Arabidopsis thaliana: one gene and its partners. The protein of the gene in region 1 interacts with the protein of each later gene in a pairwise test. Each region holds a gene or a part of one and is shown in the gene's direction. Other genes may lie near its edges.

The links.
Region 2: the proteins of SK18 (region 1) and HWS interact in a two-hybrid assay, tested with the Arabidopsis thaliana proteins (2 studies listed by BioGRID).
Region 3: the proteins of SK18 (region 1) and AT3G03360 interact in a protein complementation assay, tested with the Arabidopsis thaliana proteins (one study listed by BioGRID).
Region 4: the proteins of SK18 (region 1) and EDL3 interact in a two-hybrid assay, tested with the Arabidopsis thaliana proteins (2 studies listed by BioGRID, with this or other methods).

Annotation. Positions count from the first base shown.
Region 1 is NC_003070.9:3,352,647-3,357,245, forward strand, and holds SK18 (E3 ubiquitin ligase SCF complex subunit SKP1/ASK1 family protein), read left to right. Parts: upstream 1-3,028; coding exon 3,029-3,505; downstream 3,506-4,599. Other genes in the region: AT1G10220 (ZCF37), read left to right, coding at 1-169; AT1G10225 (transmembrane protein), read left to right, coding at 1,718-2,044; FRS11 (FAR1-related sequence 11), read right to left, coding at 4,189-4,599. UniProt on the Arabidopsis thaliana protein: Involved in ubiquitination and subsequent proteasomal degradation of target proteins. Together with CUL1, RBX1 and a F-box protein, it forms a SCF E3 ubiquitin ligase complex. The functional specificity of this complex depends on the type of F-box protein.
Region 2 is NC_003074.8:22,789,337-22,795,852, forward strand, and holds HWS (Galactose oxidase/kelch repeat superfamily protein), read left to right. Parts: upstream 1-2,775; 5' UTR 2,776-3,131; coding exon of another isoform or gene 3,132-3,143; 5' UTR 3,144-3,331; coding exon 3,332-3,427; intron 3,428-3,565; coding exon 3,566-4,813; 3' UTR 4,814-5,005; downstream 5,006-6,516. Other genes in the region: POB1 (POZ/BTB containin G-protein 1), read left to right, coding at 6,368-6,516.
Region 3 is NC_003074.8:792,259-798,452, forward strand, and holds AT3G03360 (F-box/RNI-like superfamily protein), read left to right. Parts: upstream 1-2,647; 5' UTR 2,648-2,780; intron 2,781-2,901; 5' UTR 2,902-3,028; intron 3,029-3,104; 5' UTR 3,105-3,246; coding exon 3,247-3,248; intron 3,249-3,373; coding exon 3,374-4,007; intron 4,008-4,121; coding exon 4,122-4,304; intron 4,305-4,369; coding exon 4,370-4,660; 3' UTR 4,661-4,755; downstream 4,756-6,194. Other genes in the region: AT3G03350 (NAD(P)-binding Rossmann-fold superfamily protein), read left to right, coding at 235-298, 440-475, 670-859, 1,118-1,194, 1,278-1,370, 1,688-1,786, 1,989-2,090, 2,275-2,295; AT3G03370 (uncharacterized protein), read right to left, coding at 5,165-5,336, 5,447-5,625, 6,186-6,194.
Region 4 is NC_003074.8:23,298,655-23,304,070, reverse strand, and holds EDL3 (EID1-like 3), read left to right. Parts: upstream 1-2,205; 5' UTR 2,206-2,614; coding exon 2,615-3,433; 3' UTR 3,434-3,781; downstream 3,782-5,416. Other genes in the region: AT3G63070 (Tudor/PWWP/MBT domain-containing protein), read right to left, coding at 739-815, 1,282-1,404; AT3G63052 (uncharacterized protein), read left to right, coding at 4,960-5,160.

The DNA of each region.
Region 1 (4,599 bases):
GGTGTTTTTCGGACGGACCGTCTCGATCATGTGCACTTGTATCGTTTGGTACTTGGTTCCAATGATCAAGGAACAGAGCAGAAACAGAGGATCAACATACGAGACGAAGAGGAGGAAGAAACTAAATATTGAAAACAGAGCTGCTCCTGATAAAAGTGAAACCCGGTGACGAAAATCAAAACTTTTTCTTTTTTTGTGAATTTCTTTTATTCGTTTCATCTAACATTTTCCTTGGTTTCTTTTGTTCTGTCTTCTCTGTTTTGTCCATAGTTGTTAATTTTGAGACAGAAAGATACGTAAATTCTTCTTCTTTGTTTCTCCTTTCTCTAATGCTAGTGAAATGTAAACTATTCAAACTGATTATTTTTGTTGGTCGTGGTAAAGTGTTTCTTGATTCATTTGTGTACAACTTTCGTCTAATTGATGATCTGTAAATGAAATTTTTTTAGTTTGGAGTTTTGATTTCTTGTTGTTTGGACAACCTGTACTATTTCTTTGTTTATTATACATGCTCACGTTTGGTTTTCTTTTAAGGAAATAGCACGATAAGGCTGGAGGATATATTATATGATTTAGATTGAAATTGAAATTAAAAATAGTATTCAAGATTTTGGAAATCGATGATTCACCAACTCAGGTCAATCATTCGGTTTAGTGTGGAGTTTGGAACTAGTGTGGCTAGGCCGGTTTGAGATAAACTTACCAAAGCCAATTGGGATGGTTTTGGTATAGTCAGAATAGATAATGATATTAAATTTTGGTCCGCGGATTTGATTTTGTTTCGGTACCGTCGTTCTTTTGGTATTCTCGCTCTTCGCCATTATTGATAAATTGAATTGAACCGTTCAAACCCGGTTTACTGGCTAAAACGGTTCTTTCTTTCAATTCAAACGGTTCTTTCTTTCAATTCAACTATACAAGTAACACTGCCACGTCAACTCGAAAAAATGGGACTATGGATTGTAGTTTACACAAAGACCAATTTCAGTTTTATTTGCTTGTAATGAGACTATGGATTATAGTCTTTTTATTTTTCTTAGAGATTTGAGATGGGTTTTGAACTTTTGATGATCTCTTTATGGAAAGCGACAAATAATTAATAACATCATGTGAAAAGCCAAAAAAAAAAGTTTGATGAAATTTCCTATGCTAAACGACAGAATATTATAATGGTTAATTGATCTGCATTTCTTTTAGCAAGCTTAAACCGCATGCATACACAATGGCATTAGCAGTAAAATTATGACAATATGGTTACAAACCCCTATCAATCATATGCTTTCACGGTTTTATTAAATTTGGAAAATGTAGCTTAATGTATTAAAAAATCGTTAATTAATGGGTGTGTGCCAAACTAATAATGATACATATATAATCAAAGATTTTGGATTAAAAGAACAGTTATTTTGAACGAAGACCAAAAATGAGTAACGTGGGTGTGACAGTACGAGATCGAGAGCGGCTTATTCGTACGGTAAAGCTTAAAAAGGAAATTGGTTATTATCCTTTGGTAGCCAAGACAAAAAAAAATGAACCAGCTGGTTTCAATTACGTGGCAGATTTTGTTTTTGTTTACATCACTCGCTTTCTCATTCGTTCAGGTTCATTGCAGACTTCCCTCACCGCCGTTATCTTGTCTCTTCTTCTCTCTCAAATCACATATCTTCCTTTTTGTTTTGTTTTTTTTGATTAACTTATTGTTTGTTTTCCCCAGTTGATGGAGAGAATGAACATGAGCGAAGAGGAGGAGCAATGCAAAAGAAACCAAGAGGCATTCAAGAGATTCTTCGAGCAAATCCCCAGGACTGCGGTGATAGGCATGCTTTCCTTCTTCCTCCACGGCCAGATGAGTAAGTTCGAGAAAGCTCCAAGCAAGCCTCTTTCCAATGCTTTCGCCTTCGCCTCCGTGGGCTACGTTGTGTTGCAGGTCGCACACGGCTTTGCTCGAGCTAATCGTCCTTCATCTTTCGCTTTCGACTTCCTCTCTGTTCTCTGTGGACTTGCATCCGTTGCCATTCTCTTCACTGCCATCTTCAACGACTGAGTCAACCCCCAAGTGAGTTAGGGTTCTTTTTCTCTAAATAAAAATGAAATAAAATCTGAGATTGATGATATGTTTCTTCTAGTTGAGTCATTCCAGTTTTTTCATTTCTGTAACGAATCTATGGATTTATGTTAAAACCCTAATGTGAAAAACCTTTTGGTTGATCATCATCCAAGACGGCATTTTTTTTGTGTCTTTTACTAGCGAAGCATCTTGATATTTTACTCTAGTTTTAGGTACTAGGATCGGTTTTCTACAATCGGATTCCTGATCGATTATCAAAACCAATCAACCTAGAACTGGTTCAGCAAAATTTCAATTTTTTCTCTTCCGAATGTTCTAGAATCCCTCCATAAACAGAAATTTGGACTTATTCGAGTCAAATCCCTAAAGGTGTGTATGGGCTTTGTAATAGTTTGGCCCATTATTCCGAATCATTTCCTTGTTAATTGAGTGTATTAATAAATGTTTTGGACTGGTTTGTACCAAAAAATAAAATAATGTTAAGCTTAGAAGATTAGAAGATATACAATAAACTTTCCAAATCGGCAACAAAACAAAGTATTTGATATTGGTTTGATGTGTTTCACGACCATAGAACAAGACGGTACATTATACTATATGAATGTTGGCAAAAGACAAGTTTTTATGTTTAGTTACGTTTCTCTGCAAACGAAGATATTTTTTAGTTTGATCGGTTTTCTACAAACCGGTTCCAAATCAATATGATCCCATTTTGGTTTTCTCTTCAGAATGTTCTAGAATCAGATGAGTGGGACTTGTTGAGTACAGCCGTATAGGTTGTTTGGGCTTTATGAAATCTTTAGGCCCATAATTCTGATCCATTATATTTCCTTTTCTCCCCTACTTGTAAGGGTTTATTCTGGATTACTCATTTGCCTTATAACAATGGCTTCTTCTTCCGAAGAGATTGTGTCCGCCGGCGAATCATCAGAGATCGAGGAAGCGGTTGCGAGTCTAACCATGTCTTCTAACAAGATTTTGTTGACGAGTTCCGATGGCGAGTCTTTCGAGATCGACGAAGCGGTGGCGCGTAAGTTTCTGATCATAGTGCACATGATGGAGGATAACTGCGCCGGTGAAGCAATTCCGCTTGAAAATGTCACCGGGGATATCCTCTCCAAGATAATCGAGTACGCGAAGATGCACGTCAATGAACCTAGTGAAGAAGACGAAGACGAGGAGGCGAAGAAGAATCTAGACTCGTGGGACGCTAAGTTCATGGAAAAGCTAGATCTGGAGACCATCTTCAAAATCATTCTCGCTGCCAACTACCTAAACTTCGAAGGACTTCTCGGTTTCGCTAGCCAGACGGTTGCTGATTACATCAAGGACAAAACACCAGAGGAAGTACGAGAGATTTTCAACATCGAGAACGATTTCACGCCTGAAGAAGAGGAAGAGATTCGCAAGGAGAATGCTTGGACTTTTAATGAGTAATCCAACTTTAGGGTTTGCAGAATTTCGTTTCGAATTGCACAATTTAGGGTTTCTCTTCTCCCCCCTCTTAGATTTCGTGAATGGGTTCATCTTTTCGTTATCGACTTGGTCTCAAGTAATATTCTTTGTAGATTGACCAATGTTGTTCTTGCTCTATTAGCGTTCTAATTCGATTCTCGATCTTGTTCAAAAGCCTAAAAAAAATAATCAGTGTGTTCTTCTATTGTTCTTCAATTGAAAACGAAGATACTAGTAGAACCGGTCGTAAATCAATTCTATTATCTGGCCGGTTATCTATTTTAGTTCTCTCCAGAAAATTTTCAAAATTCTAATTAGTGGCAAATGAATGATCGACGCGTGTATGACAGCGCTCATCGAGAGGACCCACTCTGTGCGACCATCTTTGTTGTCGTTGACGTATTGGTAAGGATTTGGGCTTTGTGAGAATCACGGGCTCATTTGAATGCATAATCTTATTAATGGGAATTTTGGACATCATGGTACTATTTCGTCGAACACGACGAATTTAAGGTTGACTTATCTTTCTTTTTTTTGTCAACGAATATAAGATTGATATTTTTAACAATGCATAAGTTAAGATAAGAGTTACAATCTTGTAAGATTAGGTTAATAAAGTAATTATGTTATCTAAAAATAGTTAGACACGCATAGCATTTGTGGTATCAAAAATTCCTCTGCACAGAAGAAGAAATGTCTCTGATAGCAAGTGAGGAGACAGGCTGCTCTCTGATACGGGATAAGAGGATGGAGGTTTGCTCAGTTGCAATATCTAGCCTCTCCTTCGATTTAGCCGATTCTGAGACCAGAGTCGAAACCAGATTCTGCAGAAGCTGAACTCTCTCTCCATGATCCTCAGCGTTACTTCTGAACGTCTTGCTAAACGACGTGCTGATCCTGCGCCACCTAAGTGGAAGATACCTATCAGGGACCTGAAAACAGTTTCCTGTGGAGAGAACACGGAGTGCGTGCCTGCAGAGAAACCCAGAGAACTCAAACAGTTGGCAACTGCAGCTTATGATGCCTTCTTGAGGAACCCAATACACTTTTCTTCCTCCATCGAGTTTTGTGTGGTG
Region 2 (6,516 bases), on another chromosome or scaffold:
CTGGTCCATAACACCCCCAAGTGACAAATTAGTATTTGCCACTATGTTCTATATACATTTTTATCCTTTCTTTGTTTATTGTTTTTCTGTGTCTTTACACGGACCACCAAATGGGCCAAATTGATTAGTGCATATTGATCTTGCTAGATCTTCCCACAATCTTCACATCGTAATCATGTTCTTTTAAGAAGAAAAAGTGTTGTTTTCACACTCTTAACTCATATATAGATACACGAAACACGATTTGACTACAGCTTCTACTCTCTAGGTTAGTTAAAGTTTTTTTATTATTTTAAAAGTTATTAGTTAGATGCTTTTCATAAACGATGCAAGAAGGTACCCAAAAAGAAGTTGCAAAAACAAATCTTATTAGAGTTTGTTTTCATTATTATCGTTGCGTTTTATTTGTTTACGAGTGAAGAAAAGAGAAACAAAAATATAGTTGCTGAAATTTTAGTATTTATAAAATTCGCAGCAATGGATATTAGAACGTATCCATAATCTGACTATAGATAATTCTATATCGTGCCAAGAGGAACCAAAATAAATTGTACATGTCGTTTGATTCATTCCTTTAATTTATTGTGTAAAGAAGGATCCAATCCTAACAAAGTCTTCAAAACCTTCACATTTTTTCGAAATTTAACGACAACTATAGGGTTTCTAGCTAGATTTGAAAGTTTTTTCACAGTTACACCTTTACCTATCTGCAGTAATACTTCCACAAAACTAACGTTAAACTTCTGCCGGTACAAATACATGTGCTTATGTAAGAATGAAAACATTTTGAATTTAATATTTTGCACTGGACACGTTTTTCTTTTGCCATTATGGATTTTCACATAGTGACGGATACGTGTAGATCCGCCGATCCCTATGACAACATAGCATTTTGGAATTTGTTTACGTTCAACTCCTTTAAATAAATAGTTAAGGCAGTGCGTCACTATACTGCTTATTACTACATAGTCTAATTTGGTATATGCTTTGATTATGGATTTATGATAATCAAAAGTTATATGGTATAACCAATTGTCGTTAGCTCAATTGGTAAAGACCTTAGGCGAAGCTTAGAGGTCGCCGGTTCGTGTGATGTTTGGGACGAAACTAATATTACATGCTGTGGTTTCGGGCCTGAGGGGATTACGGGCTTCGGCCCAAAACTTCTTGGATTTCAAAAAATAAAAATAAAAAAGTTATATGGTATATTCTTTTGGATATTTCATTCTCTTTTTAATTTCGTTTCGCCTTAACCGCATTCTCTAATTAAAAATTTAGGTACATGATTCACACTTTTACAGTTTAGCAATGTATACAGTTTCGAAACAAATTCAGTTTCCAATGCCCATGAAAACGCGTATAATACCATAAAAGTTTATGTTCTCAAACTAGATTGAGATTAGTGGCCAATTGATCATGCATGTTCCATTTAACTGAAGATATACGTAAACATGATCAATCGTCCATGAGAACAATTTCAGTCTTGCTACACTAAAATGCAACGGATCGTAAAAGTGATTTATATTTTCATAGAACCACCACATAAATAATTAACAATTGAATTCAGATCTTAAAAAACATAGACAACAGAACCAATTTTGTTCTAAAAAAAGGCACTAAGGAGCAATGTGATCATATAGTTTAATGAGCCAGCAACTAATCGCACACTTGTAATATAATGGAATATATAAATATGGGAGTAGCTAGCTATATAAACCATAAAGGGTAAGGGCATATGATCGAAAGAAGAAAGAAAGTAATGCATATGGAGCTGAGATCAGTATATAGCTTTACACGTTAAATGTAGTTAGTGCACATGACGAAAAACTAAAAATAATACACTTGAGATAATTTGCGTTGATTTTTAATTTTGAATTTGTAGAGTGAGTGTATTAGGTAAAGGACAGGCCACTGAGAAACTGCGAGAAGTCTAGGCTAAGGAAAGTAGAGAGACAGACCTTTCAGTGTTTCAAAAGCAAAGTATAATTACTAAAGGTAAATTATAATTTTTAAAAATGATCATTTATTTATTCAAATATCAAATAATTAGAAGACAATCTTTCTAAAATAAATATAAACAAAAAATGACAAAAAGGTTACCTCATGTGGTATGTCATTTTCAGCTAACCCCTCTGGTTGCCAGAGTAAATACCAAATTAAGTAACTTTTTAATTTACTAATGTATAATTGTTATCTTTCGCCCTCCTAAATTTATAACAATATATAATATACTGCTAAAAAATATATAAAACTTCTTATATTAGTAATCCGATATGTTGGTTAAATAAAATAAAACTGAAATAATCATATTTAGTCTAGGTACAATATTAATAACGCCGGGTTTAAAAAATCATTTAATTGGTTGGTTTATGAGTAAGACAGCATTATTATTGGTGTTATGATATTTCATTGTTTTTTGTGTTTGCAAGTTCTAATTTTTGTTTTTTCTTTCTTTTGCAAATAATTAAATTATTGTATATTTAATACTCACATAGTAAAAATTAAGGAAATAACACGCGCTAACACGCGCCTCAACTTTAATCATTTTATTTATTCAAACCCCATTTCGGAAATAAAAATGACAAAAAAAAGAAGAAGAGGAAGAAAAACAGCAAAAACGTCTACTCTTCTCTCATCCTCGCGCTTGCTCTCTCTTCTCTTTTTTGTCTTTCCCTTTCGTCTCTCTATCTGTCTGTATCATTCATTCGTGTTTATTTACAATCGAACCACGAAACGTCTCTTCTTCTCTATAAAAACCAGATTTTTCTCAATCTCAATCTCTCTCGCTCTCGCTCTCGTTTTCTTTGATGAACCCTTTTACTTCATTCTTACTCTTGATAAATCCAAATTCCCGAGAAACCCATTTCATTTCCTTCTTCTGTTTCTAGAAAGACCTCTTCTTTTCGATAAACCGAGATCCACGAAACCCGCATTTCCTCTCGCTAATCTATTCTAAATTTCGATACTTTTTTTTTTTTTTTATCGGTTTGAATCTCGAGAATTCCGAAGATTCAGAGTCTCCATAGTCGAAGGTGTGTAGCGAATCGAGATGGGTTTCTGTTTGATTTCACTGTCGCTTTCTCTGCTTTCATTTCTGAGTGGTTCATTGATCTCTTCCGTGTTCGTAATCTATGATTGATGATGTATGTTGTTATCAGATGTTTGATTGATGTCTGCCTATAGTCTAATTTCATTATTAAGAACGTTTTTTTTTTGTATACCTAACATCTAAATTTTGTTGTATTAATTGTCATCAGTGGAATCTTGACGTTGAAAGGATGACACAAGCTTTCTCCTTTTTGTTTTTCTTTTGTCTGAAAAATGTATTGCAATGTTAGACAAAGTCTTAATACTATCTCTCTTCTTCGTCTTCTGCATTTTCGATTTACCATTATGCATGTATGCTAAAGCAAATCTGATTGACAAGGTTTTCTCTTGATTTATGTATTGTTGTTTTGTGTTGTTGAAATGAATGATATTTGGGATTCAGATTCGTAAAGCTTTAAATCTTTATGTGTTCTTTTCTTGGTAATGGATTTATTTATTTTTTGTATCGTTGTTTCAGAGGCTCTTGAGAATGGAAGCAGAAACGTCTTGGACCAATTATCCGTACAGCTACATTACATATGTCCCTGAAGCTGAATCATACCGTGAGCAGAGCGACGATGAAGCCAAAGTCGAAACCTTTTCAATGGATTCTCTTCTCCCTGACGATTTATTAGAACGAATCCTCTCGTTTCTACCCATTGCAAGCATCTTCAGAGCTGGTACTGTCTGCAAAAGATGGAACGAGATTGTATCTTCTCGGAGGTTCTTATGTAATTTCTCCAACAATTCGGTTTCCCAAAGGCCTTGGTACTTCATGTTCACTACCACGGATGATCCATCTGGTTATGCTTATGACCCCATTATCCGCAAATGGTACAGTTTCGATCTCCCTTGTATCGAAACATCCAATTGGTTTGTTGCTTCCTCTTGTGGATTGGTTTGCTTCATGGACAATGATTGCAGAAACAAGATTTATGTCTCAAATCCAATTACCAAACAATGGAGGACGCTTATTGAACCTCCTGGTCACAAATCGACAGATTACACGGCAATGTCTACCTCCGTAAACCGAGCGAACCAAGCAGTAAACCGCGCAAACCGGAGTTACTCAGTCTCGATAGTGAAATCGAAGCAAGTTCCAGGGAATTTCTTCCAATGGGATCTCTCTATTCATCTCTACAGCTCTGAAACAATGACTTGGACAACATTAGTAAACGATGTCTTATCCGGATGGAGAGGAGGGAACGAGAGTGTGATCTGCAACAATGTTCTTTACTTCATGATATACTCAACGGGAGGCTCAGATCATCGCCACGGCTTGATCGCTTCGAATCTATCCTCGATAGGATCACCGTCAAGCGGAATCTTGATGAGGAGTTTCATTCCAATGCCGTGTTCTTTAACCTGCGGGAGATTGATGAATCTAAGAGAGAGGCTTGTGATTGTCGGAGGAATCGGGAAACATGATCGACCAGAGGTTATAAAAGGGATAGGGATTTGGGTTTTGAAAGGGAAGGAATGGGTAGAGATGGCGAAAATGCCTCAAAGATTCTTCCAAGGTTTTGGTGAATTCGACGAGGTTTTCGCGAGTAGTGGCACGGATGATTTGGTTTACATTCAAAGCTATGGATCTCCCGCGCTTCTCACGTTCGACATGAATCTCAAGTATTGGAGATGGTCTCAGAAATGTCCTGTTACTAAAAAGTTCCCTCTTCAGCTCTTTACTGGGTTTTGCTTCGAACCAAGACTCGAGATTGCTCCTTAGTTGCAATGAAGAAGCAAATGGGTCTGTGAAAGTCTTGGTCTTTTGGATTGTTTTTGCACAGAGAAATCGCCGGCGGCTTTATGAAGATGATGATACGGTAATGTTTTTAAATTTTAGTTACTGGAAATGTTTTTCAGGAATATTGTTATTTGCAATTTGGTACTCTGTTAATTATAAATTTATAAAATGAGGCCCAGATACTTTTATTTGAACAAACGAACCCTTCTCTATCTCTCAGTGAAATATAAGAACATTTTTCAACATGTGGCCCACAATATCTCATGTAAATGGGTCGGATTCTGAAACTGGAGGTTGTCTTGTTGCTGTTCCTGGTGGATAAAAATAATGATTTTGTTCCTTTTTTTTCCACATATATTCATAATGATTTTTCATGTTTTATTAATTAATTATTGTTGTAAATTATTTTAAAGAATTATGTTTCTGTACTTGTATAAAATTGGGACCTATTTTCGTGATGGGATTTGTCAGGTTTGGCAGTGTTAGGTTTACGGGTAATGGACAACAGCTATTTTATTGTGTATTTTATCATTTTCTCAAGGGTCACTTATTTTCAATTTTCATAGCTATAATAATTTACTAAATTTTAAAATATAACAAAATGTCATTCATTAGTTATAATCGTATAAAAGTTGACGAAGTGATATATAGATTCTACATACTAAAAACAAAATTAATTTGTGTCATTATGCCAAAATGTCAAAAGGAAAAGAAAATTTAGACAATTACTCTGACACATCAAATCAGCTAAAACCTAACTAAATATACCAAACTAGCAACACATATTTTTGTTATTAAAAGCATTTATAATGATAAATCATGATCAGAATCATAGTAAGCAGATTCGAACACTAGTCTCTCAAATTTCGGTAGTAAAGTTTTCAACCATTAGAAGACAAATACGATTTTAACATCATTAGTATTGTTTTTTCTTTTTTAATTTAAGCGTTGGCTTTCCAAAATGAAATAGTAACAAGCATTAACGAGTTAAGTTGTCAATGGGGGAAGTTAAAACTCTTTAAAACCAAAAAATTGACCACACAACACATATAGTGCCCACTAGTTCTCTCAAACGAATATGGAATACTTTAAAACCCACCTCTATTCTCAAGAATTAAAGCCCAGAATTTCAACGTTCTAAAAATAGTTTTGAAAGATTTGTTTTTCACGGGTTTTTCGTAAAATAATTATGAACAAAACAAATAAATTCAAACTAATTTTTACACGTACAAATCTGACTCCTAGCCTCCTAGATGAAATTCAAAATTTTGTACCAGCAGCTCAAAGCTACTAGGTAAAAAATGTCACGAGAGAAAACCGGAGGAATATTGGTGGTTCATCAATACGAATCAAACCGAACCAAGTCATAAACCGGTTCATAGAAAGATAAGAAGACAGACAATCAGTCATCACTTTGGTCTCGTTGAGCCTTTCGTCTATCTCTCACCTGAAAGAAAGACGTTCAGCTTTCTCTTTCCAAAATCAAAAGCTCTCCGATCAGTTTCTCCGGCTTAGGAAATTAATTGAAGGAAGGTGATGAGAGGTACTACTGAGAATACGGATCTGTTCGATCCCAAAACCCAAATGGATCCTGACTTCACTCGTCATGGTTCTTCCTCCGACGGCGATTTTGGATTCGCTTTTAACGACAGTAACTTCTCTGATCGTTTGCTTCGGATCGAGAT
Region 3 (6,194 bases), on another chromosome or scaffold:
TTCTTCTCTCAATCTGATGAAAGTTGTTGTTTTTAGGTACAATTCATTCTATTCAAAACAATTTTGACGTCTCTCAATCCCATTTTAGATACAATTGATTCTATTTCAGGTTTTGGGGTTATTTCTCAAATCGATTCCTGTCACCAAAATCAAAATCTGAAAGCAAATGGTTGATGAGGATCACTTGGAAGATTTTGTCTGTGTTTGACTATGGAGTTGCACATAAATGGTTAGGGATCAGAGGAATAAGTTGACTCAGGAAGTTTCTTCTGCTTTCAGCGGCAAGCTCAACATCCTTGTAAGTTCCCTTCTCATGCTAAAGACATTTGTTGTTTTCTATGCTTTTTTTATTGAATTTTCTACACATTGGAATCTTCACCAATCTTGAAATTCTACATATCACATTAGCTCGTATCCTTGCAAGTTTCTTATCCGATAGAACAATCTTCGAACCATTCTGCCACACTTTTATCAGGTTTCTATATATGTTTGGTCTTAGGATTGAATGGTTTAGACTTTTGGTGGTTTTGCCTCGAATGATCAGCTATCTGTCTATTCCATACATGTAATGTGAAGGCTTACGGTTTTTTGTTGAACCATATAGTGATGCTTGTTGATCTCATGTAAGTTTTCCATCTATTAGGCAAGATCTGTTATATGTTAACATAGTTAAGATTACCAGCACCGGAGGAAATCGCGTCACTGGTTGCTTTTCTTTGCCTTCCTGCAGCCTCCTACACTACAAGACAGGAAGAGCTAAAAGCATGCTTAAATGATTGCAAATCCAGTGGTTTAGTGGTGTCTGGTTCGGTTAGAGATCAGAGGGATAAGTTGATTCAGTGGCAAGCTCAACATTCTTGTAAGTTCCCTTCTTCTGCAAAATGCTTGTTAAAACTGACTCTCTAGTTTTTTCTCAGCATTGTGATCAGAATCGTCATTGATCTTGAAATAGTTTATTGCATTAGCTCTGCATCCTTATAAGTTCCTTCTCCATCAAAACATCCTCATACAAATCTATTTGCTGGCTACGCTTTTGTCAGGTTTCTTCATTAGGTTTGTCTTAGCCTTGAACGGTTGAGATTTGTGTTGGTTTTGCCTTAAATGCTCTGTACCTTAGTTTTATGTCGTTTCATCATCATATTTTTTTTCTTGCAGAAATCCAAGGCATCGGATGCAAGTGAGGAAACTATCAATGTACTAAATTAATTGCATAAAATCCGTAGGCCATACAATGGTTTGCTTGGTGACATATGATTATTCAATGACTTTGTGTGCAGACTACATTCGATATCAATGTCTTTGGGACGATAACTCTTATAAAGTTGGTCACTCCTCATATGCTAAAACAAGGAGGCGGTCATTTTGTTGTGGTACGTGGAGACTAACGAGGGATAGTTTTTGTTAAGTGCCCTAATTTTGTGGATTTGTTGAAGGATTGAGCTTCATATCATAGTTTATGGATATGGATATACATTGCGTTTTTTATATGTTAAATCTAAGGCTTTTAAGCTATGTATAGATAGTTTAAGGTTTCTTTTGTATTTTTGTCTTCTGCTTGCTAAATTCCAAATCATGTTACCGTATACACATCTTGAGAAGTCAAACTACGGTTAGCTATTCTTGTATGTGTTAATTTTCCATTTCCTTGGGTTAAATGTCATGATTAATAATTCACGTCAGTCTATAGATAAGCAGTGCTGCAGGAAAGGTACCATCACCTGGACAGGCTATATATTCTGCTTCAAAACATGCTCTGCACGGCTACTTCCACAGCTTGCGTTCTGAGGTATGTTAAAAGTTAAAGAAACTGTGGTGCTTGCTAATTATTTGGCAGCTAATGACTTATTGAAAGTCACAATAGAAAACTCACAGCTACCTCAGAGTTTTCTGATTTGATTTTTTCTTTTACATTCCTTTTCACTAATTGCTGAGAATAGCACCATAAAGTAACAATTCACAGTTGGTTCACAATCTGCCTATGGTTTCAGTTCTGTCAGGAGGGAATCAAAGTGACCGTCGTTATTCCTGGTCCAATAGAAACGTTGAATGGTACAGGAACATCAACTTCGGAAGACAAGAAGTCTCATGAGGTTGGTTAACTGATTGTGATTTGTTGATTAAGTTGTCAGTTTTTTGTACTTGTACCTTTCCTTTAAGCAACTAATCAGTCTTGTAGACACATAGAATCCTCTTCCTTTTCAACATTAGGATCTTCTATCTCCGGCTTCTTTCTCTTTTTATTTCCACTCAAAGATCTTTTCTTTTGCTACACAGAAGCGTGTGTCATCTGAATGATATGCAGAACTGACTATAATCGCCGCGTCTCATAGCTTGAAGGAAGCTTGGATTTCATATCAGGTACTTGTTTGTCAAAATCGCATATGTTTCACTCAGTTTAGATGCTGATATACGATCTTCTTTTTGCTATTTATCAGCCAGTACTGCTTGTGATGTATCTAGTGCAGTACATGCCTTCCCTTGGCTTTTGCTATTTAGTTTCTTTGCGCTCAAGAGGTTTTCAGATGCAGCTACGAGATAAATCGGACTACTGTATATAGTAATCCAACAGGCTTTTGAGCCCAGTGGACTTGAGTTCCTAGAAAAGAAAAACCGAAAAGAAAGTTATGTGATGCGTATATTGAAGACTAATGAAAAGCTTTTGGGGATTCACTTGCTGCCAGAAACTCACAGACAACACTCCTGCCAAAGCTGTCACAAGGCTGATCACTGTTCATTCTTTCCTTCTCTGCAGATATGTGCCGGCAGTAATTTAATTTTTGGTAACTGCTTTCTCCTTCTTCTCCTTTACTCATTTCCCCTATATTTCCTTCCTTTTATCATCATTATATACAAATTGGTAAATATCATTTTTAGATTGTGATCTTCGAAAATTTATTATAGATGTCAATAGATCTAAAAGTTTATACAAGAAGAAAAGGTGAACTCGGAAACCGAAAAGATGGAGAAGGAAAGTCAGGAAAACTCGACCAGACCCGATGCTTCGTCTACTGTTTTCTCTTCCTCTAAGGTAATATCTCTCTATAATCCAAATATCCAATCCTTTTTCTCTTATGTGGGTGATGCGATATTTATACAAATTGCAGAGTACATGCGCAAGCCCTAGCTATCTCAAAGAAGCTGGAGACTTGATCAGTAGGTTGCCTGATGATATTCTCCAACTAATTCTCTCCTATCTTCCAACCAGATTGGCGATCAAAACTTCCGTTTTATCCAGGCGATGGAGGCATGTATGGTCTGATACATGGTCCCTCTCCTTCCATAGGGACAGACCGGATGCTCCTTGTATTAACAGAATCCTAGATCGCTACAGGGCTCCCAAGATGATGAGTTTTCGTATCTGTTCTTGTTGCAGGGCAGCCTGTATCAGCAGACCCGACACGCATGCTGACATCGACAGTTGGATCAACTTCGCCATGTCCCGAAACGTGGAGAATCTGTCCCTGTATCTCGATGAGGATAAATATGATATCCCTGAATTCCTTTACATCAATTCCTCTCTCAAGCAACTCTACCTTGATTTCGGCTGCAAAAAGGATTTTATATCTCTGAATCCCAAATGTTCTGTGTCTTGGACATCCCTGAAGAACCTGTCATTGTATCATTGCAACATCTCTGATGAATCCATTGCTATTATTCTATCTGGTTGTCCCATTCTCGAAAGCTTATTGTTGTTTTTCTGCAAGAAACTGAAGGTCCTTGATCTCAGCAAATCACCGCGTCTGATAACATTAGAAATCACTCGTAGATGTCGAATGGAGCCAACACAGCTCGTTGCACCACATATCCGTTGTCTCAGATTGATAAACTCTGAGAAACCATGTGCTTTAGTTGATGTCTCCTCTTTATCCCAAGCTGAACTAGACATTACCGCTTACGCAATAGTTGATAATAAACTGGAGGCTGATTTTCATCAGACCATGGTGGTAAAGATGTTAGAAAAGTGTCAGAATGTGGAGAAGCTTACTTTGGGGGCAAACTTTCTTAAGGTATATGTTTTCACTCCTGATTTAGTTTACATAATTAGGCTCTGATTTTCAAGAAAACTAGTGTGTTTTTTGGTATACACTCATTTGTCTTCTGTTTTTTTTTGTTTGTTATAGATGTTATCTCTTGCCGAGCTCCGTGGTGTTTCTTTTCCAAAGTTGAAGGCTAAAGCTCTGATACTTGAGACAATGATCTCTCGATATGTTATTCATGGTATAGTAAAGGTGCTACAAAACTCGCCTGACTTGAAGAAGCTAACCATACACCCAATGGGGTCTGCCGGCTCATATCCCATACCGGTAATTATGAATATTCCTTGACCCCGAATTTTGAATCATCATATTGAAATATACTTGCATTACAGGAAGAGCATATTGACATATACTTGGATTCTCATGGCTTGAATTGGGATCCATCCTGGAGCTCGGAGTTTAAGAACACTTCCCGCAGGAATGTAGAGTCAAAGCAAGTGGCTTCGTTTCTGCAACTTGTGCTTAAAACCATATCAACATTAGAGTTGATTGTCGCAAGGTTGGAAGGTTATATCAAAGGAAGACGTTTTGTAGAGTTGCGTCAGATGGTTCCAATGCTTCCTCGCAACAACGATGTCTCCATTGTGCTCAGCTCAAGAAGAAAACGATTCAGAGTGACTTAAGTCATTTTACATTTAAGTAGTACACTAGATGAAAATCTCTTGTTTGTTTTTCTTACTGAAATAATCGAATTCTGTTAAATTGATTTTAAGTTGTGAAATTGTTTTTACGTTTTACCATTTCCAATCTACTGGCTAACCTCGGAAAAACGGTCTAGTGAGCGAGCATTGCCTTGAGAAACAGTACCCGCCAAATCCAGCTCTCATGTACACAGTTTGATATTATTTCTTTCCAGTACTTTTGATTCAGCAACAGAGAGTTCTTTTCGGGCTATGTAAGAATCAATTTGCATTGTCTGCAGCCTATCCGGTGGGGAGCTGAGCCAAGGAGCAAGATTTGCTCCATATCCATTTTCTTCAATTCTAGTTATGCATGCCTTGAGATCCACGTACCTAAGATAAACAAAGAATCAGTCAGAGGTGACAAACCTAGGACAAAAGAAGTTGCGGAATCGAACAAATTTTGGCCTAAGGAACAGAAGCAAGGCATATCAAATATCACAAGTCTCAAGGTCTTGGATCTCTCTGAGAACAATCTTGATGGATCTCTCCCTTCATCTCCTGGGATACAGGCATGAAAGAATCTCTCGTAAGTTCATCTTCGCTTTTGCGTTTCATATACAGCTTCACTATCGTAATACATAACTTAGCAGTGAACTGGAAGAATTCAAAGCAAGGTCTTGCCAACAATAACGTCTGCCTCTACACTCTGATAGACCTCTCCATAACAAGCTATTCGGAGAAATCCCATATTCTTTAGGCAATCTCAAAAGCTTAAAGCTTTTAAACCTCTCATACAACGACATCTCTGGATTGATCCCACAAAGTTTTGGAAATCTTGAGAAGGTAGACCTTTCACACAATAACCTCTCAGGCGAAATCCCGCAGAAACTATCCAAGCTCAGTGAGCTGAATGTATGGAGTTGAGCAACAACAAACTTATAGGTAGAATCCATGAGAGTCCTCAGCTAGACAGATTGAACGATCCGAACATTTACGCAAACAACAACAAAATATGTGGAATGCAAATCCAAGAACCATGCTCGACACAGACCAAGCAGCCAGAGAAGCAATGTTTTCATGGAAAGCTGCAGTCATAGGTTGTCCTTGTGGAATTCTAATGGCAGTTGTCTAAATGTATATGGTTGGCTATTTCAGAGACTCATCACCACCACCAAGGCGATCTCTCAAGAACAGATGACTGAAGAAATCAAAATCTCTGTTTTTTTTAAAACGAAATGGAAGATTATTCAGATGCTGTAACATTGAAAAATAAAACAGTCTGTTAGCAATCCCTATGAAGTGATGTTATCAAGAGAGTTAAACAAAGTAAATTGTCAAATCACTTTCCAAAAAGTTGTATTTTGATCCTCTGTTTTTTACTCGATGAAAACAGAATCGTTTAATGTAAACATTGGCAGCATATAACAAATTCACAAAAATCTGTGTCTTTTTGGTGACATCAAGGATTTTAAGATAACAGCAGAGATTTGTTAAGCAAAAAGATTGTTTAAACAAGAAATATCACCTTCTTGCG
Region 4 (5,416 bases), on another chromosome or scaffold:
AGTGAGCATAGTTTACTACAACCTTGGACTGATTCCTTAAAAACCAATTAAATTTGAAAAGCAGACAGTTGTGCTAAAATGCTTCGTCATAATAATTATACATCAGTATCCACTTAACCGTGGGAATGAATGAAGCAACAAAAAGAACATTCGCTAAATGCTGATGCTAATCTGCAAAGTAAATGATTAAAGAGTTTTCAGAGAATTCAACATGCAAAAGGCTTTAAGATAAATGATAACAAAAGTCACCATCCAACAGATATGGAAGCTCTACACAAAATTGCTAACGATAAGTTCAACAAAGAAGCACTATTGCGAAACATCTGGAAAGAAGAAAATCGACTCAATTATCATTAACTCAAGTGAACACAGAAGTTCAAACCAGGAATGATTCAGATTCTAAACCAAGTAAAATTAGAGCTTAGTGGTGTCTGTTAGAGAACATACATCACAGCAAATTGATCCTGCCGGAACAGGAAAGGTTAAAATCTACAGCCATAACCAAGGTACCAGCTTCTACGTCCTAATCTAGTGAGACAAGAACCGAAGTTTATCTCCTCGAATAAGAATCATAATAAAATGAATTAATCAACTCAAACGGGGACACAAAATTTAAGGACCTAAAATAAGTGTAGGATGACAAATAGGAACTCGCACTGAAAATGTAAGCATTTGGGAAGTATGACCAGAAAGCAAAACAAAATATATGAGGGTGATACTAAAGGCCTGAGAACTCACATCTGTTGAGTGCCAAAAAAGTGAACAGTTACTTTCTTCGAATCGGCTGAGTGGCCCCATTTTTCCGGTTCGTCAACCTGAAATCACTCCCAGCAATTAGCACAGGAGCAAGTGATCCAAAAAATCAAATTCAAACTGGTCTGGAAAGTGGCAAATGGGATATTATAGGGAATAATCATCATATATCCAAAACTTAGAAGATGTAAAATGGCCTATAAAGTTGCTAAACGAAAGTCTGGATCAGTGGTAATCTACTAACAACTACAACAACTAATCACGGGTATTCCTGCAATCTGCCAAAAACTAGATAAGGTCACCAACCCCTCTGAAAATATCCATATCCCTTAGGCAGTTGCTAATCCCAGAGAGGAACTTTCATCTGAATTATATACAGATGCACATACATGCAACTTCAAACCCTAAATTTATAGCTATTTCTACCGTCAACTGGAAACTAAATCATGAATCTAATAAGCAATTCTTGCAGAACCAAACAGAAAAGAGAAGAAATAGCAGAAAAAGCAAAGCCATAGATGCACATACCACGGCAGGCCAAGCAGGAAATCCTTTGACTTTGGCAAGAACGAGATCGCCAACCTTCCACTCTCGGCGAGCGGATGATGCCGCCGCAGCCCTACCACCCCCTCTCTTGCGGCTCGGAGCCATCGGAATTCAGAAGAAAAAAAAACAACGAAAATCAGAAAAGGAAAAGGTAAGGATTCTAACTCTCGAAGTTAAGCCAGAACCACAGGCGAAAATTAGCAGCTCGGCAGTGCCTAGGGTTTTCGGAGACAGATTCCGCTAAAGAACTCGCAGGCATTGAAAATTCCCAACCCAATCGACGGATGTAGGCACGCAAGACAGAAGAAAATCGGTCCCGTAAACCCTAATTGAGATGAGGGAGAGAGACAATCGAAGATTTCTGGTGGATTCTATCGCTTTTGTGGAAGAGAAACATTCACACACGAAACCCAGGAGAGGGAGAAGAAAATGAAAAGGAAGCTGCTCTCGATATGAGGAGTATGTATATTTTTGTTAATCGTTTGTTCGGTCGGTGTAGGGTTTGCCAATTTCCAAAGGCGATGTCTAACGTGCGCCTTACACGCGTAGGTTAACTTTATTTCCTTTAAAAGGTTAAAAGAGCGAATCTGACTGGTATGTACAAAACGTCGATCAGAGTTAAAAAAAAGAAAAAACAAATCCACGTGATTCAACCACTCCTCTAAGCCCATTCTATTTGAAACGGAATGTATGGGCTTTAATAAAGTCCATTCAGCCCATTATTAGCTTAACCTCGTTATCCAATCCATCAAACATTTTCGTAGTAGTTTGTAGTTGTCATGTGTTGACCACTACAAAAAGCAAAAAGCATCAGTTCCCGATCTTGAAAAACTCGACCAAGACGTTGACCACTAAAAAAATCTTCCTGTTGGACGGACCTTTTGGGAGCTTATGCTGCCTTTCATGCGACTGCTTTGTGGCTCTTCTTAGTTTGGAAGATTACTTCGTATTTGCCACGTTTCTCGACTGCAATTGAACGTGACACGTGTTCCGGGAGATATTTTTGGTTCCAGAAAAGTACGTTTCGGATTCGCGTTTCCGTCTCTCGCTCGACACGTGGCACTCCCATTCCTTAATTTTTTCCTTTAATACCAATCGAGACGTCAGTTTATACCTCCGATTCTCTGTTGCAGCGCACGCAATCACCAATGGACACGCGTCACAACTACCAATGATAGCTCGACACATTTAGCGTCGGGGAGCTCCATGGATCTTTTATTCTAGCATAAAGCCACGTGTGTTATTCTCGAGCACCGGACCAACTGATATAAATACGATAGATCACGACGCGCGTGTTTAGACCGCAAAAACTCAAATGCTTCTAGAGGGAAGATTCTCCGTCGTCCAGATGAACACGAATAGACGGCTCAAATTTAACCAACCGAGTCGATTACCCAACTCGGGTAAGTCAGGTATAGAGAATGAGCGAGTCCTGGTTCTTGTCTTCGAGTCCATTAGCTGGGACATCCACACGCTATGCACAATCGCCTCCCTCAGCCGCAGATTCTGCGCAATCGCCAGACGAATTCTGTGGCGGCGGCTCTGTGTGAACCGTGCGCCAGGGATGGTGGCGGCATTGTCCGGCGAAGATCCCAGCGGTCGAATCGACGGCGGCTGGCACGCGTTAGCGAAACTCATGTTCTTCTGCGGCGGGGGTGAGTCGACTCGGTATTTCAATCTGAGTCAACCGACGTCGGGTCACTTCGCCTGCGAGTCCAGATTCTCCAAGACATCCGGGAGATTCTTCCTGCCAAAGAATTGCCGCCGTGATCTCCTATACATGAGCGATCCGTGCGAGCATCAGGCGGTGGGTGGAGATGAGCATTTAGGGGTTTTCAGAGGGGTATTTCGGGAATTTATGAGGTCAAAGACGAGGGAGTGTCTCGTGAGAAGACAAGCGGCGCTGGAGGAGAAGGTTAGGTGTCCGTATTGCGGAGGGCGCGTGTGGAGCATGACGGCGGCGCGTCTCGTCCCGAAGAGTGCGGCGCGGCGGCTGGGATCACGTGAAGGTGGGTTAGAGTTCTTCGTGTGCGTGAACGGTCACTTGCACGGCACTTGCTGGCTGATTCCGCTTTCATCGGAGGAAGAAGACAATGGAGAAGACGACGACAACAGTGACGGAAGTGTGATCTAATCCAATGGTGGTGGCGATGTCCACGTGGAATTAGGTCTCTTGGGCCATATGCAAACCACAAGAGGAAAATCTCAGTTAGATTTCTCCTATGAGATGTGGAGCTCACTAGTAGTAGTTGCAGGCTGATTGTGGATCGTGAGAAGATCTTTCTATCTATCACCGATTTGTCTAGTTTGGGTTTAGATAATTTTGGTACACTACACACTCATAGATAATTTTGGTACACTACACACTCATAGTCATAGATCATTAGAATTTTATTGTATCTGGTTTGTTTTATTGCGAAATGTTGGCCATTAATTTGGTGAAGTATAAAAAGAAATTGAAACAATAACATTTGGTTTTATTACATCTTCCCCTCTGTTTCTATGACTATAACAATGGCGATATGTTGCAAACAGCAAATGAGTTCCATAATCCATACATAAAATTTCATATATAGTGAGGTGAGCTTGTCCTCTCAATTGGCACACCGGTTACAGTTGTTGGTGAGGTACGCCTTTTATCTGTCACCGGTTCCAAAATCTTCTTATATTACTACCAATATACGTTCTACATCTCATTTGTATTGTTTCTTACCATGTCATCAGGTTGTTAAGGACGGTGTCCGTGGTTTCAGGATTCAAAACCCCGAGAATGGACTTTTCTTTGTCTCACCTGTACCGCTCGATAAGATCATCTTTCCGTTGGAAAAGTGGTCAAGGTTGTTTCTCTTCTCAGTATGGCTATTGTCTTCCTCGAAAACTGAGATTGAAAAAGTCTAAAAGGATCTCTTTGGCAGGAGGTTCAAATATGTCTCCATAGGTTTAACTGTTGTTGGTGTGATTCTGATTTCCAAGCATGTGATTCAGTATATTGTAGAGAGAAGGCGGGGGCGATTGTTACGGAAAAGGTAATGTCATATATTAACCAAAGCCATATACTTGCAAATAGATAGTCATTCCAAATTAAGTGTTGAGCTATTTGTTGCAGAGTTGCTGATGCAGCTGCTAAGAGAGCCGAACTAGTAACTGGAGGTATTAACATGTGAATCCTTTTTCTGCATACGCTTGGAATTGATTTGCTTACAAAAATGTCTCACCAGGATTGGAAACTCAACATGAGAACAGCTCAGATAATACAAGCAGAGATGGCCATGTACTTGATCTCTGTGTGATCTGTATGCTCTTCACATTGAAACCAAAAAAAAAAAAAGAGGTATGGTTTTTACAACATTATACTAGATCTGGGTTTATTTCGCTAATAAGAAAGAATATAGGATGTATTTTGCTATTTTAGAAACGTTCAGGACTAGAAAACAAATAAAAATCATTGCACGGGCCTGGCTCAACCCATCAAAATTCAAAGTCCAATTTTTCTCTAGTTAAAATTAAATCCCTCACTTCATCAACCCAGAAAAAACGAAAGTTAATAATACTATGAAACGTTTTAGGTTAACATCCCACATCGGTAATAAGAATAATATGACGTATCTATATATACATCTGCAAAGTAAAACCAAACACAATTGTCACTGGACGAAGTGAATGGGTCATATGGGCTTGTCCAAGTTCCGACCCAGGAAAGTCCCCGGGCCACTTATCCGCAGAGATGCGGCCTCGGTAACGAGAGAATCTTGCGGTGGAGAGATTCAAATTGCTGAGACGCGTGTGTGGAGCTTATGTGGTCTCTCCGCCGATGATATCATGGCCGTTCGACAGTTATTCACCTCTTCCTCTATGGACTAACTGAACGGGGCTTACGTTTCAATGACAAGCAACTTTTTCTTTCGTCGAGAGAATTTTGTCAAAATTAAAGTCAACAGCTATCATCAAAACACGTGATTCACGCGAATTGAAACGTGACAATAACAAAAGTGAAAAACATAAGTGAGAAGTACTTTTATAGATAGATCAACAAGTCTTGTAAGTGTATAAAGAATCTTTACAAGTTTTCGTCCACTCAACCGAAATTTACAGTGATAAGGGAGCTTCATCTTTCAAT